Linked DNA regions of Lepisosteus oculatus. The protein of the gene in region 1 binds, or shares a complex with, the protein of each later gene. Links are inferred from orthologs where the notes say so. Each region holds a gene or a part of one and is shown in the gene's direction. Other genes may lie near its edges.

Region 1 (7,571 bases):
TTTCTTCGTCCGCTGTGTTGCCCTTGTGCATTCTGTTTGTTCGCAGACTGCAAGATTCTTTTTGCAATGTCTGATTTTAAGGGTGCGTTGAAAATCTCTCTCGTTTCTGATTTCGGAAATTCTTAAAGAAGGCATCCAATGAATATTAAAAGGATTGAGGTTTACTGAGCAGTACATTACAGACTGTTTTGCAGTCTTTGTGTGCTTTTATTTAATATAAGTTAGATCCTGATGTCTGATTTTTTATTAGCGTTTTTGAGAGATCAGAGTCTCCCATGTCTTTAAACGGGAAGGCTTTCAGAACGTCACACTTGAATCACCTGAAAACTGTCATGATTTTTATCATTTGCTATTATTAACTCATGAAGGCTCCCAATTTGTTACACGTACCTTAAAGAAAACGTTTCGTCTTCCAGCTTCTCAACACACCAGGGCTTCTTTTCTGTCCTTTCAGATTTTTTTCATAGCGTGCATCGACAGTAAAGGACTATGGATTAGTTTCTGTACAATGTCACCATTTGCCATGATCCAAGCAGTGATTTGTAGAGCACATTAGTGTGGTAAAGGAATGAAGTTTTATTTTACATATCTTGAAAGAGCTTTTACCTTAGGAAAACATTTTTTACAACCATTTTTTGTTAATTTTTTAACATGCAAGTTAGCAGTCTAGTCAATTTTCAATGTATGAATAACACAATGGCCATAAATTGATGATAATGCCTAAACAATGTGATCACCATGTTTACAAAGTAATACCTAACTCAGAAGCTGTAGTATGGGGATGTGTCATGCCTGTCTTACACCACAGATGAAATAATCTTTTACAGCTCAGCTGTGGGCTTGAGCTGGAGTATAGACGATGATCATGGGTTAAGGGAGAGAGCTGCTCTGAGTCACCTGGCACATGATGAAACTGTCCTAGCTCTACAGAGAACAGTGTCGGGCTCATTCTCCAATCTTCAAAGACTACGCTATGCGCTTGAAATGAAGGTTGAAATTGGAACAGTTCACGTACTAATGTACGCTTAGTTCGACTCTGAGATCGGGCTGCTTTAAATTTAATTTTACAATGTTACCTAATGTTTTGTTTGCATGTGTTTGAAAAGTAGTATTTCTTATGATTATTTTGCTAGCTTGCAGTATAATGTACTGTATAGCTACTTTCCACTTATGATCTTCAAGAAGCTACCTGCCTGCATTGTCCTACATGTGTTGACTGGGCAGTGGATCTAGTGCAGATCATTGATAACGGGAAGTGCTTTCTTGTAGATTGTACAGATTAGTTAAAATGTATGCTTAGTCAACTTTTGTTTCTATTGTGACTATTTTTTGTTTTAAAAAGGAATTATTTTTCCCTAATCATTTCCAAATATAGAATTCTTAATGGAAAGAAGAATCCCAAATGAAACAGTTTGAAGTCTCAGTCAGCACTTATTCTGTACTTTCATTACATTTTATCTTTCTTTAAAGGCTGTGGTCCAGTACACAGCCTGTGATCAGACATTGCAATAAATGTTTATATGTTCACAATGATAAAACCAAAATCCCAGTTATTTGCCACTTTTGTTGTTCCGTGCTATTGCTCTGGACAAAATAGGCCTGCAAAATGGGGTGGTGCAGTGGTTACCATTGCTGCCTCGCAGTGCTGGGCCCTGGGTTGCTGTCTGTGTGGAGTTTGCACGTTCCCCCCATATTCACATGCGTTTCCTCAAGATGCTTTGGTTTCTGCCCACAATCCAAAGACATACTGGTAGCTTAATTGGCTTCTTGGGAAAACTGACTCGGATGTGAGTGTGTACATGACTGTGTGTGCCCTGTGATGAACTGTGATGATCCAGGGTGTATCCTGTCTTGTGCCTGTTGCTTGAGGGACTCCGGCTCCCCCTCAGTCCTGTAATGGATAGAGCAGTTAGAAAATGGATGTATCGACAAACAAAATACGTGATCTTTCAAAACTCAATTTACTTGACCTTTGTACCATTAACAAAGGGTGTGATTTTTGTGATTTATTCTCTTACGATCTGATGACGAAGACAGACCTGTACACTGGGAGAAGAGAAGGTTGTATTCTGATGGGCTTTCTGCTTCACACCAGCTACAGTACAACCTCCCCATTGTTTGTTACCCAGACACTGATTGTGGATGTTCTTGATGCTGTATATGTGATGCTAAGAAATTTTAGCTCTAGGAGTTAAAGTGAGAATTTTGTCTGTTTTGTTAAAAGTAAAATATGGCTTACTTTCTTAAAGAAGACTAAAGGCATGAGACCTAGGATAATAATCATACAGTCACTGGTCAGTGGTCCGGTAACAGTGGTTTATACAGTATAGTGGAGCACTTCACAAATTTATTTTAGTGCCTCAGACTTTGTCCTGATGCAGTTAATGATAAATACGTGGGGTATTTTTTAAAGATATATACTCTCCAAAAAAGAACATGTGTTGTTCACTGGTATGTGTGAAATGGGATCTGCTTGTAAAAAAAAACCAATTTTGTATGTATGATTTGTTTCCAGATTAAAGTTTCTATTAAACAGTATTTTGTGAGTTATTCTCACTTGGGTGCAATTTACTTGATTCAGATCTTGTAAAGAACACTCAGCATTTACAGCCCTGCAACAAAGTATCAATAAAATCTTTTTAATGAAGGTCAAACTAGTAAATTGCAGTGCACTTGCTGTCTTTTCTCACTTAGTTTTGCTTCCCCACTCTTAACACTCTTAATTACCGTGTAAATATGCACAAGAACAACATAGTCAATGTAATAACCGTTATGGCTCTGTTGTTTTGCAAAATCTTTAGGACAAGTATCCGGAGCCACTGTCCTGGAGAACTCCAGTCAGGAAGTTCAGATATTTGTTCCAAATTATATTTTAATCATTAAATTACATCTAATTGATCACAATTTAATTGCTGTGAAACTAGATGGCTATAAAACCCGGTGCACTGGTTTTCTCTAGAACCAAAGATGGGGACACTTGCTCTACACAGTAAAACGGAGAGGAAAACATTAACTTGCCATCCTGCAATGGCAGGGCAGAAAAAAGTTACGGGCAGCCTTAAAAGCTTTTGCATTTCTGTGAAGAAAAAATATATCTGTTGAAGGATGCTAAAGTACTACATTTAAAACGCCCTGAATTGCCTGGTAGATGTTTAACGTTGTTTGTATCTGTCTTGTGTGTACATTGAAATAACAAAATCAAACCTGAGAGTTTCATGGGAGGTTTGTTTTATTGGTTACAATTAAATCACCACCTTCTAAAGACCTACAAATTTAATTCTGGTCAATTAAGAAGCTGATTTGTCATTTGGTACTCCATCGAGTACTTTAGCCCTAGAAGACCATTTTTTCTTAATTAAAATGATTCATCAGAATCTTACAGATACATCCAAACTTCAGAAACGTGACATAAGATTTTATACGTAACTAGTTACATCATCACCGATTTATTTAGGCATTAGCCAAATGTTTTTTAGTACTTGCCTGACCTAGATACACAGAACTGTTTAAAAATACTTGTTTGACGTGTCTAAACTGAATTTTATGTGCCATTCACGCACCGTGCAAATGTATTTGCAAGGCTGCTGATGGAAAAAAACAGATCAGAAAATATCAAAAGCAGCAGTGTTTAACCCTGGTCCTGGGGGGGGGCAGCAGTCCAGTAGGTATCATACATAGTGTAACGCACAATAGCTTTATATCGGCAACCCCACAGTTCAAGACCTGGGAAAGAATATTAAACTGGAAACAGTGGAATCTGAGAACAAAACTGTGCTTCAACAAATACCTTTGGAGGACCAGAATGGACACACCAGAACTGAGATTGAGTTCGTTCAGACAGGAGCACTGAAAGAAACTTGATCAGGTTAAGACAATTTAAGTTTTAGAAGGAATGTTAGTCAAATACATATAAATATACAGTCAATGTACATTATTCTGTGTTTTAACCAGAAGACACGTTCTCTATAGCGTTAAACTACAGTACATATACCAGAAGGTAGTCGATGGCTTTCATAGTCCAAACAGATATTTTTCCGCACAGCAGATCTTCTGAATGTTCCCCACGTGAGAAGGGCATCGGGAATCACGTGTGTATCATGGTCCGTGTGGGCCAGGTCTGTAGACACAAACAAGAGGAAGTAAGAAACAGACCAATAAAAACATTTGCAGCTACTTCCGACATGAATCTCATCCTTCGATCAGCTGTTTGACGGCGTTCGGTACAGGATAAGTCGGTGTTTGCAGTTTCGTGCACCTTTTAATTATAGCCTTTCCCGAGCAGCTGGATGTAAACAACACAGATCTGAAATCGCAGCCGGAATTTCAATTTCACGGAGTCGGCTTCGCCGTCAGCAGAGACCCCGGCTCCCAAGCGCTGGTGATCTGCAGGAGGAGGAGGACTTTGCCTTATTTTTCGGAGAAGCTCTTCAAGATCTCGGCACAGCTAAAGAGAAGCCAGGTGCAGTTGTGCCTTGTCAGTAGAGAAGACGGAGGACCTGAGACCCTGCGGCGGCTTGTGTTGCGGTTTCCAGTCGGGCCGAGAAGGTCGCTGAACCGGCCATGCACGACGCCTATGAAGCGGTCCCCATCCTGGAAAAGCTGCCTCTTCAGATAGACTGCATGGCGGCCTGGGGTGAGTTAACCACCAGACCGGGAATGGGGACCACTTAGTGTGATATAATTTTACGAGTTTAGCGGAACAGTTGATGGAGAGCTCTCCGGAGCATTGAGACATGATAGAAAAGAGGAACTTTGTCAACGAGTGACATTGGTTCCTAGGCAGCACTTAACACGCATTCGCTTTCATTACTGTTGAACGTGTTTTTACATTGGTTTACATACATGTTATATATGTACAAATTTATTATTTTTGTACTTATGACATCACATGTTTGTATACATAACATCCACACGCCTCAGGTATTGTTCTCAATATTAGTTATAGAATAAATGTAGGATTAATTATTTTGCGTTATTTTACATTTACTTCGAATGACATTAAAAGAAGCATAAGAAATACGTTTTTGTTTGTAGCTGCATTTTCTGTTTTTCATTTGTTTTACCCATTTTTTATGAAAGGTACAAACGCTTTATGCAATTCTCCTCGTAATTTCCTTAGCGAAATTAGATGCTTATGGACTCAGATTTAAAACCCTAAATGTAGCATTCCTGAATCATTTGACTCCTTTCTCAGGTGGCCTGTGCGTTTTGATGAGAGAACCCTGTGCAACTGGATTTTCAAGTTTCGCAGTTTCATCCATATTCCCTTTATTTCCTTTGGTGCTTAATTCCAGGACACATTGAGGAAGGACAGGTTATAAACATTACAAACTGTAAATTGGTGTCAATCCTTTCATTTTCTCTTTAATTAAAAAGCATAAGCCTTTTCTCTTAATTTCCAAAACATTATTTTCAGATAAGTGAACACATTTTTATGTATATTTTTGCCTCATCGGACATTTAATTTGGGTTGCCTTGTGTATAGTTTTACAGATACAGTATGGTAGTAATGAGCTCAGACTGTCCAATTGAATGAGTAGGTGGGCAGTGCTCCTGTCATTCAGACCCAGTGAGACCTGCTGATCAGTGTTCCTGTTCCAATGAGTCTAAACAGATAAGAGTAAAGCTTTAACAACACAGTTATCAAATGTAGCCTACTGCGAAAACCATATAATACAAGTTATGAACATCTGATGGGTAGCACAGTGGGTTAGTATTGCTGCCTCTCAGCACTGGGTCCCTGGGTTCAAGTTTGGATCTGGGGTGTTATCGTCGTGGGGTGTTCTCCCTGTCTGTGTGGGTTTTTGCCAGGTGCTCCAGTTTCCTCCTGTTGACCAAAGACATACTGATAGGTTAAGTGGCTTCTGGGAAAAGTGGCCCTGGTGTGAGTGTGTTTGTGTGTCTGTATGTCTGCTCAGCGTCTGACTGGCATCCCATCCAGGGTGTACCCTGCCTTGTCTCTGTTACTTGCTGGGATAGGCTCCAGCTCTGCAGTGGAGGAAGAAGTTAGAAAATGAATGAAGGGACATATTTTTGATATTTTAAAATTTCATTTTTGTATTGGGAAGGTTTCTTCGGATTTTACTAAATGTTCTTCACATAAGCAGTAAATTCTGGTGCGACAAATATCTGTGAGTCTAATGTGGAAAATGCAAGGTGAGCTATGACACAGTGACTTCACGTTAAATTTTCCAATAGGAGCTAAAGCTGATTTTCTAGGCTGCGGTGTTTAATAGTTTTTGTTCACCCAAGCTGTTTCTTAGCTGGTATAATTATTTGAAGGAGAGTGATTGCCCAGTGACTGGGCAGTGTGTTCTTCTCCAGTGACCACTGTATGTGTTTTACAGAGGACTGGCTGCTCGTGGGGACCAAGCCAGGACACCTGCTGCTGTACAGAGTCAAGAAGGATTCAGGTGGGCTCCCTCACGCGCTGCTGAAGAGCAGTTCAAGTCACCTGTATCAGCATGTTGAAACCCTGTTTCACTTCCAGCCTTCTCTTCTGCTAAAATGCGTGAAATGAATTGCTTAGCAGCCAGTTAAATTAACAGTGCTGGATTAAAAGAATGCTCTAGGCCATAATCTCACGTCTCTTCTTTGGTTCTGGCCATATTTCCGGAATCTCAAGCCCGGGGGATATCTGTATGTGATGACGTTAAAAGCTTTTTGTCTATTTTGTTCTGCGTGACGCAACAACAGAAATATGAAATGACAGAAGCTATTCTGGCTAGCGTCCACCATTTTAGATCTTTTTTTTTGTAACATTGGGTTATGATTTTAGTTTCCAAAAATAACGGTAGTATTAACATAGCGAAAACTGACCAGGGCGTGCTGTGTTAAGTGTATTGTATTGTAACTTGAAGTCTCTCTGTTCTTAACCACTGCTGCTTACATGTCAAAATGACACCATGAAGTTAGGATGGGAAAGCACATAGGTCTTGCACAGGCGTCAGTGTATAGGGCTTTTCCAGTGTGCTTAAGAGCAGATTTGCTCACTTCTTGGCCCTCCCAGCTACTGGGATGGCAGTAACGTATTTGGTCTGGTTTCTAGCAGGGATCATGCCATGGCAAATAGCAGTGGGCGTGGGGGCAGCAAAGTAGACTGTTGCAAAACTGCCAGTGTGTAATACACACTAAATGAAAAGCAGTAGATGTTTACGACTTTAATTTTTTGGCATGCCGTAGTGCAGGCAGACATTCAGTAATTATTTGTACAGTTCTTCATAAAGACCCATTGTCCCGACAAGGGAAATAAGAGACTTGTTGTCAAAGACAGCCCTGTTCTTTTGTATGTATGGGTGTAGACGCAGAAATTGGGGATGTGCTGGCCTTGCCAGTTTCCATGCTGTAACCAGACTTCTTGTGCCTTCCTTATAGGCAGTAACAGGTTTGAAGTAACGCTGGAAAAATCCAACAAAAACTTCTCCAAGAAAATTCAGCAGGTATGTGGTAAAGTAACTTCTGTGGACTGATGTCATTCACTATTGTTTCATATGCATGTGCATTTTTGTGTTAAATTAGTCGGGCCAGCAGTGGACTGATTGTCCCATTTGAAGCAGTGTGCTATTGTGTTT
Region 2 (8,007 bases), on another chromosome or scaffold:
AAACCAGAGATGTGTACAGTATGTGATCTTCTGTTATTTTGCTTTAATATCAATTGAGTTTCTAAAGGAGTGTTTAATAGCCAGCCTTCAGAGCTCTACAAGCCCAGATAACACTTTGCCATTTTAGAAGAAATGGTGGAAGATAAGATATTTCAGTAGCAGATCACTACAAAGCCATAGTGGCAAAAATTCAAAACCCACAGGAAACCTTCTTTTGTCAAGACAGTGAGACAAAATAACCCAGAAGCCTCAAATGGGAGAAACTTGATAATTATTCTTTACAACATGGGAATTCCTAGCATAGTTATCTAAAAGAAAAGGCAAAAAGGAATCACATATATATATATACTGTATATAATATCACTGGCGCCTGATGGAAAAGCAAGACAATCCTGTCTCTTACAGCTGTTGTTGCATGATTGCATTAGGAGCAGTAGTGAAGCACCTGGACTTTTATAACTGTGGCAGTGTCTCATTTACAGAGCCCTGTAGTGCCACGACAGGGGATGGGTACATTTACAGAGCCGAATCGAACATCACATTGCTGAGGAGTAAAAGAAGACGGGGAGCTGAGCATGGAGAGCACCGTACACTCTGTGTTGACCCGGTACTGAATAAAAAAAACAGTTTAGTTCAGATTCATGCGTTGGTTCTAATCTTCAGGCAATCAACAGAAAACACTCTCAGCCTCACACATGTGCACGTGCACAATTTATACCCTCCAGGCACACTTATATTAAGCACTGTCATTATGTGCAAGCAGGCTGTGAAAAAAATGTTATCAAAGGTCACTTTAAATTACAAACCTAGGAAAACAGCAGGGGAACCAGATTCCCAGTCAAACCTGAGAGTGTTCCTAGAGCACAAGTCTCTTAACAGCAGAAAGCTCCTGTCATAGGATTTATTGCAACCCCTGACTACTCACACTTATAGTATACATACATATATAACCTCTAACATACTAAAATATAGACTGCTGTGCAAAAGTCTTAGACATTTGACATTGTCTACTCTTATCACTGAGTTTTTCCTTCTTCATGAAGAAAAAATTGTCAGAATGCTATCACAATTATAGCTCTTTTGAACAATGCTAACACTTAATCCTCATCTGAATTTTGTAGTACATCAATGTAGCCTTGTACACTACTAGCTTAATGTTTGTGTAGAAAGGAACACATAACAAGAAAAGTAGTCAATTAGAAATGATTAGTATATGTGGAGAATTAGTTACTACAACACTGTGTATTGGTTGCTCATATATACTGTACTCTACCCACAGGTGTTGTGATAAAGTTCTTGAAAACTCTGATCAATGTAAATTAAAAATTGCTAAATGACAAGGTTGTTTTCTTCTTGTCTCACTTATATTTATCTGTATTAATATCAAAGGCACTAAAGTAAGAGAAAACTAATGGAGGTTTTGTGTAAATTATTGATCCCCATAAAAGCATATAGTGCAACTCCTGATTGTATCTAAGATGTGAAGGATTTTGCACAGCAGTGAACAATATATGAAAGACAACGTATTGAGAAATGGCTGACTCCATACCTGACCAATTACAGCATTCATGGTCTCTGTGTCCAGCTGGCCTGGGAGATCACAATCCATCATATGGAGTCTGTGAAAGGCAAACAGGGGCTTTCTGGTATGCATCTGTCAATCAATGCCTGCTCGTAGAGTCACGGCTATCACCAAAAGCAGAAAAAGTCAAGCAGCTCTACCAAATAGGATGAAAAAAGTCATGTGACCCCCTTCAGTCCACAAAGACACACACTCTTATACCACTCCCAACCCACCCTGTAAATGCTCTCAGACCCAAAACACATACTGTACTCCCATGCATTGTATGAGTTTTTAAAAGGAATACTCACTACCTGTATTCACTACCTGGTGTATTGTAAAATAGTCAGCTATTTGCTGATGCCAAGAGACCAAGTAGGAATTAAATAGCTTTCTGCTGGGTCCAGGACCATCAGTAATACATTAATTGGCACCACTGGCAAAGAACTCAGATAAAGACTGCAATAAATGTTGTGTAGGTTTTGATTATTACACGTGTTATTGTATAATTTACCAAAGGATACTTTGTCTTTACTTAGCAACTTACTATTAAGAGCTCTTACTTAGTTTTAATCATAATTATTTACCCTGCATATCAAAGAAACATCCAGAAAATTACACCATATTCAAAGAATAATAACGTGTTAAATTATACGCTGTTTCGTTTATTTCGACAGCTAGCGCAGATGTCTGTTTACTTCTTTTTCTCTCAATTATCAAGTCGACAGTGTATCAACAATAAACTATTAGCTGTAATATTCTAAATTAATGAAGAGTTTTTTCTGAATTATTGCAGAACCAGGGATTTCTGGATCTATTTTAGCGCGATGTGGCAGTTTTTTTGTAATTGACTTCATTACGGCTGTGGTCACTTTTCTAATGTTTGTGTGAATACAATGGATTACGAATAAATAATCGAAGTTATAATTTGATCCTTGACATGCTCCTTCAACCTGCATTAAAAAGATTTAAAGATCAACTTTGCATATCTCTTTTGCAGATGGACAGGCCCTCCCAGGGGACTTCCCGGGTGGATACTCCGGATATATCTGAACATATTATAGGTTTATTAAAAAGCCCGCTTGTACTCAATAATATTCTATCTGAAATACTTAATCGTCTTATTGACCAGTAAACCTAGATCCGATAAAAAAACCGAGGATGCTTAATAGATCCTGTATAAAACTACGGGGAAATGGTAGCATATATAAACAGTGCATCGTTATGGAAGAAGGCACATTTTTCCAAAAATGTTAAAGTCATTTGATTAAGGGATTATATTATAAAAATGACCTTGATTAAATTGAGTTTAATTCGAAGTCGTTCGTTAACATCATGCAGCATCATCCATGCAAGCAATTTAGAAGGTTTTTGAAATACTGTACCTGTACGTTCTGTGTCTGGCTTTATTTTTCAACAGGGGAAATATAAAGTATTCCTCTCTCTATATGTATATCTCTAGGCAATGTGAAGTGTTTTTATCACTGTTTTATATTTTTTGTTGCAGTTTCTGCTATTACTGGTTTTCAGAAACTTTCATTTTAAAGGAGAAACACGTTTAGGTTATTTTAACAGATATAGTGCAATTTTATTTACAGTATTATCTAATACCAATCATACGTTATTATTTATATTATCTCTACCTTGCATTAATACAAGTGCAAGCAAAACAAATCAGCTGAACAGTCCGCCAGCTTTTACAAGGGCCAGTGTGATTTTCTTCAACTTTTATACTATTGTTCACATTTATACAGTAATTACCTCATTTTAAAATAATACGCAAAAATAAAATCTGCCAGTGCTTACACTTTGTGATAGCTAGTTACCTTCACCGGGGAATAAAAATTAAGCATTTACTCGATTCCTTAATTAGCCTCTCTATCTGCAAAAATGTGTTTATTTTATTAACTGTAAATAGCATAAAAAGTAGATTTATACATTCGCTATCCTCAGTGAAAATACATGTTTAGCTATCAATGAGGATACATTTCAAGTTACAATCGCATATCGCTAATTGAAACTCATTTTCTCGAACCAACTGGAATAACATATTTAATTTTCTAATACTCCAATTTCTCATGAATACAGCTCAGCTCTTCGTTTGCGGATGATGAAGTAGTGACAAGCTGTTCAGTTAGATCGTCTGTCGGTATTCAAAAAAGCGACACAGCAAGGAAACCCCCCGATTCGTTTCAGCATTTATTTTATTTGAGGTTAAGCTCGTATAGTTTCACACAGCGTTTACCTATGCATAATTAGCATTCACCGGACAGCAATCTTTTAAATTAAGTACGTTTTAGAAACAAGCAATTCCAATATATTCGCAATTCCAATATATCCTAAACGCGCATAGTCCCTGAAGTTTGGAAACGCACATTCTCTTTGAAGCAGAAGAAACATGTTCATGTAGCTACCCAATAGCGACCTCTGTCTTCGGGTGTGGGATATTGTCTACCAGCCAATAACACCGATTTATAAATAATAATAATAATAATAATAATCATCATCATCATCATCATCATCATCATCATCATCATCATCATGTAAGAACACGCTATCAAACAACGACCAAGAAATCGAGATCAACACAATTCAAAGAATCATAAATGTTTATCAATTGCAGTTATTTTATGACAAATATTTGCATTGAAATAAAAAACGCACCTAAGAAACATGAGAACAATGCCTGAAAATCTACGTAGTTTATTCTATGACTCTTATTTAATAACGACATTTTTTTTTATTTTGGATTTGTGGTGAAATCAATTCAAGGCAGCGATATTGTTGTTCTGCTATTTTTTCTACAGCCTCGGACATCTCAGGAGAGGAATGTAGCAATACTGACCTCTGCAACTGTTATAAGATAGTAAATGCATAATATTTTCTTAAAATTATCTGCAAAACGTATACCGGTTCAATAGATACATGTCTATATTTATGCTTTTATTTACTTGAATACTATCGAAGAGGTCTATCGCCAGATGATTTGACATATTCGAGTAGCGAGCAAGGAGCCCGAGTCAAGTTCTTATGGCTCATTAACCACTGTTCTCTTCATAGTTTCAAGCCTGCCCAGGTTATTATTCTTAGTACTATTATTATTGACCAATATAAACAAAATAGTAAACGTATATTTTAATTGTGATTTGCGTTGACAATTTATTTTAAAAACGTAAGGGTGGTCTACGTATTAATCAATTTTCCCATGTTAAAAAAATAACTAATTGAAATCAGAAATTGTGACTTGTTATTTGATTTTGCTCGTGAATAAAACGAATAAGTTTCTTTCTCCATAGTTGCTTACACTGGTGATGCCAGCGAACCACTCAGAAGACATCGCGCTGAAACATGTTTAAATGTCAGGATGTAAAAGCGAGACGGCACGGTGCGCGCTCTGAGAAAACTACACATCCCAGAGAGCTTCGCAACCTGCTTCCTGTTTTTGTCATGTGATACAGAGCTGCATCATGGCGGAAGCAGAAGAGCAGGTAGGTATCTGGTGCTGAGTACTGTAAAACAGCAAATATATAAATGCAGTGTACAGCTGTCAGCTTTTGGAAAGTAGATTGGGCTATTAAGTGTGCTTTTACAAGATGAGTATTTAAGGTGAAAGAAAAACAAGTCAGACATATAAAAGAGGGTAGACTTTCGAAGGAAGCAAGGATGTCTATTCTGATTTTCTATTTGAAATGCACTGAGGTTTTCGAAGAAACTAGGACCAATCTAATAATTTTATAACACATTAGTTTATTCCCGATTTACTTAAGCCAGTGACTAAGCTTTTTTCACGAATGAGACAATGTAATGCATGTTGTACAATCATTTCTTTCCTAGCTCACATTTACTGTCAGTCACTGAACATTAATTAACGTAAATTACGAGATGGCGTAGCTGAACGAAGAATTAGCGCGCTACAGTTCTTGACAGTTCAAGATCTGTAATCGTGCAGTGGCCTGTCTTTTTATGTAAGACCTATCTGTTGTCATACTGCTGTAGGGGGACCGGAAATGTCCTAGATAAATCAGCCACTGGGTGTTTACAAATTTCTGGCTTTCCTACTTGTGTTACAGGACTAATATAGTTATACAACCTCAGACAAACAGCATAATACTGTATATTTCACATTTCACTGGAGAATGGCTCATTAGACCTGTGCTCTACCTTGTAATGATGAATTCAGGTGAAATATAGAAGCTAGAATTCTTTGCAGAACTGATTTAGATAAGGGCTGCTTGAGGATGTAATGATAATCGGAAATCGAAACCTGCACAAACTAGTGTTTGTCATCATCAGTCGTACTTAATTGTTTGGATGGAATAATAAGATAGCATGGACATGCCTAATGTTAACCATAATCAGCGAATTGTCAGCAATACAAATCACAGGGATGAAGAAAAAACTCAGTGAGGTGAAAGGAAAAGGCAAATTAATGTGAACTACCCAATTAACTCATGTTCTCACAGGAAGTCAGTTTTTCCATGCCCAGTTCTGCACATGCATGTAGTTCCTGAGGTTTGTTAATTAGCTTCCAGATTTGTTACAGTTGTTCATGTGAGTTTTTGCTCCTGGTGCTCCGGTTTCCTCCTACAGTCCAAAGACATACCGGCAGGAAAATTTGCCCTGATGTGTGCCCTGCTATGGACTGGCGTCCCAGCCAGGGTGTATCCTGCCTTGTGTCCTTTGCTTGCCAGGATATCACCCTGTATTAGAAAATGGATGGATGTATGAAATCTTTATTTTTTTATTATTTCACCATTACATTTAACACATTTAAGGTAAAATCAAGATACAGGGATTAGCAGGAAGCATCCTTCTAGTTATTTTATTTTTCATATTGCATTTTATTAAATATATTATGAAACATAAGACCTAAGTGAAACACAAATCAGGGAACACAAGTGGAAGTGTATGTTAAACCAAGAACAGGAGGCATTTCTTTATACAAAGCTTTGTGAGAGAATGGAACAAGCTGGCCAGCCACTTTCTACTTGAAGCCAGTACCATGGCTTCTTTAGAGACACAGCTGGATGGGACTTAGGGATAAATTAACTACTAACTACTAAATGATGTGGGCAGGCCAAATGTCTTCCTCTCATTTTTAAACTTCCCAATTTCCTGATTTAAACAGAAATATAAAGGGTAAATTTTGACACTGTGTCTCTAAAAGAGAGGAGTAACATGTCTTAATTTTTAAATATTCCTTGCTTCTAGATTCATACAGTATATAAGCTAAAAAATAAAACATTTTTGAAGCATTAGTTACAGTAATGTAACAGTTATTAGTAACAGTATGTCTGAACTTTTATTTATGGACTATGATGAAAATCATACAAGACTGCAGTCAGAATGTTTTCAGTTCCTTTTTGTTTTTCACTTCTAGCACCACTAAATAAAAGCCCAAAATAGAGTTTTGGTATTTCTTTAGTTAATGTTTTGAAGGGATATCTTAAATCTCTAAGTTATCTTCAACAGAGCTAGATAATTCATAAATAAATAAGTTATAAATTGTTTTGTTTTTATGACATCCCATTTAAAATTTGTGACCAGCAATGCCAGTCTTGTCAGATTTGAGAGCCAAAGCAAGGTTGGGCTTGATCTCGGTCAGTACAGCAATGGGTGACCTTACTTGCTGCTGTACTTATGGACCAGTAGGTGGCGCTCTTCCATCTGCACCAGAATTTCCACACCAGTGTCCCATTGGGACCCTGTGCTACTGGAGGTGCTGTCCTTTGGATGGGATGTGAAACGGAGATCCTGACTGCCTGGTCATTGGTGATCCCAAAGCACAGTCTGTATGAGTAGGAGTGTTAGCCCATGTCCTACCTACATTCCACTCTGTACTTGCTTCAGTCTGGCCTGCCTATAGTTCCTCCTTAGTTCAGTTGCTGAAGCAATTGCTCACTTCTCCATCTAATTTTTTGGGTATTTGGGCTACTGATGCATTTGTCACCCAGGTTTGTGCAGCACTGAGATGTTGGATGTAGTGAGTCTCCTCCTGTTTGTGAAGAGGTTTGAGATCTTCTGAGTTGAAAAGCTCTATATAATTGCAAGGAATTATTCTTAGTATTAACTCAATATAAATGTATCGAATATTCTGCGATCAAATATTGAATGTTTGTGTAGCATATTTTTCAAAGCCTGAAATGCCAAAGACATTTTTATAAAGTATATACTGTATGTTAGTATTGGGTAGTATTTAATTTTTAGTTTGTAATAATAATAATAATAATAATAATAATAATAATAATAATTAATTGCTTACATTTATATAGTGCTTTTCTGGACACACCACTCAAAGCGCTTTACAGGTAATGGGAACTCCCCTCCACCACCACCAATGTGCAGCATCCACCTGGATGATATTATTACATTAATGTTAATTAATATAATAATATTATTATTATCATTATACAGTAATACTACATTTAGAAACTGAATTGTAAGTG

The links. Proteins that work in one complex are often made in the same cells at the same time.
Region 2: vps39 (region 1) and vps41 share a complex: the UniProt entries of both Homo sapiens proteins name them as parts of the homotypic fusion and vacuole protein sorting (HOPS) complex. The link is inferred for Lepisosteus oculatus from reciprocal best matches to the Homo sapiens genes VPS39 and VPS41.

What each region holds. Positions count from the first base shown.
Region 1 is NC_090703.1:20,304,033-20,311,603, forward strand, and holds the start of vps39 (vam6/Vps39-like protein), read left to right. Parts: upstream 1-4,547; 5' UTR 4,548-4,560; coding exon 4,561-4,633; intron 4,634-6,347; coding exon 6,348-6,413; intron 6,414-7,374; coding exon 7,375-7,439; intron 7,440-7,571. UniProt on the Homo sapiens protein: Regulator of TGF-beta/activin signaling, inhibiting SMAD3- and activating SMAD2-dependent transcription.
Region 2 is NC_090701.1:20,679,205-20,687,211, reverse strand, and holds the start of vps41 (vacuolar protein sorting-associated protein 41 homolog), read left to right. Parts: upstream 1-4,984; 5' UTR 4,985-5,028; coding exon 5,029-5,049; intron 5,050-8,007. UniProt on the Homo sapiens protein: Plays a role in vesicle-mediated protein trafficking to lysosomal compartments including the endocytic membrane transport and autophagic pathways. Acts as a component of the HOPS endosomal tethering complex.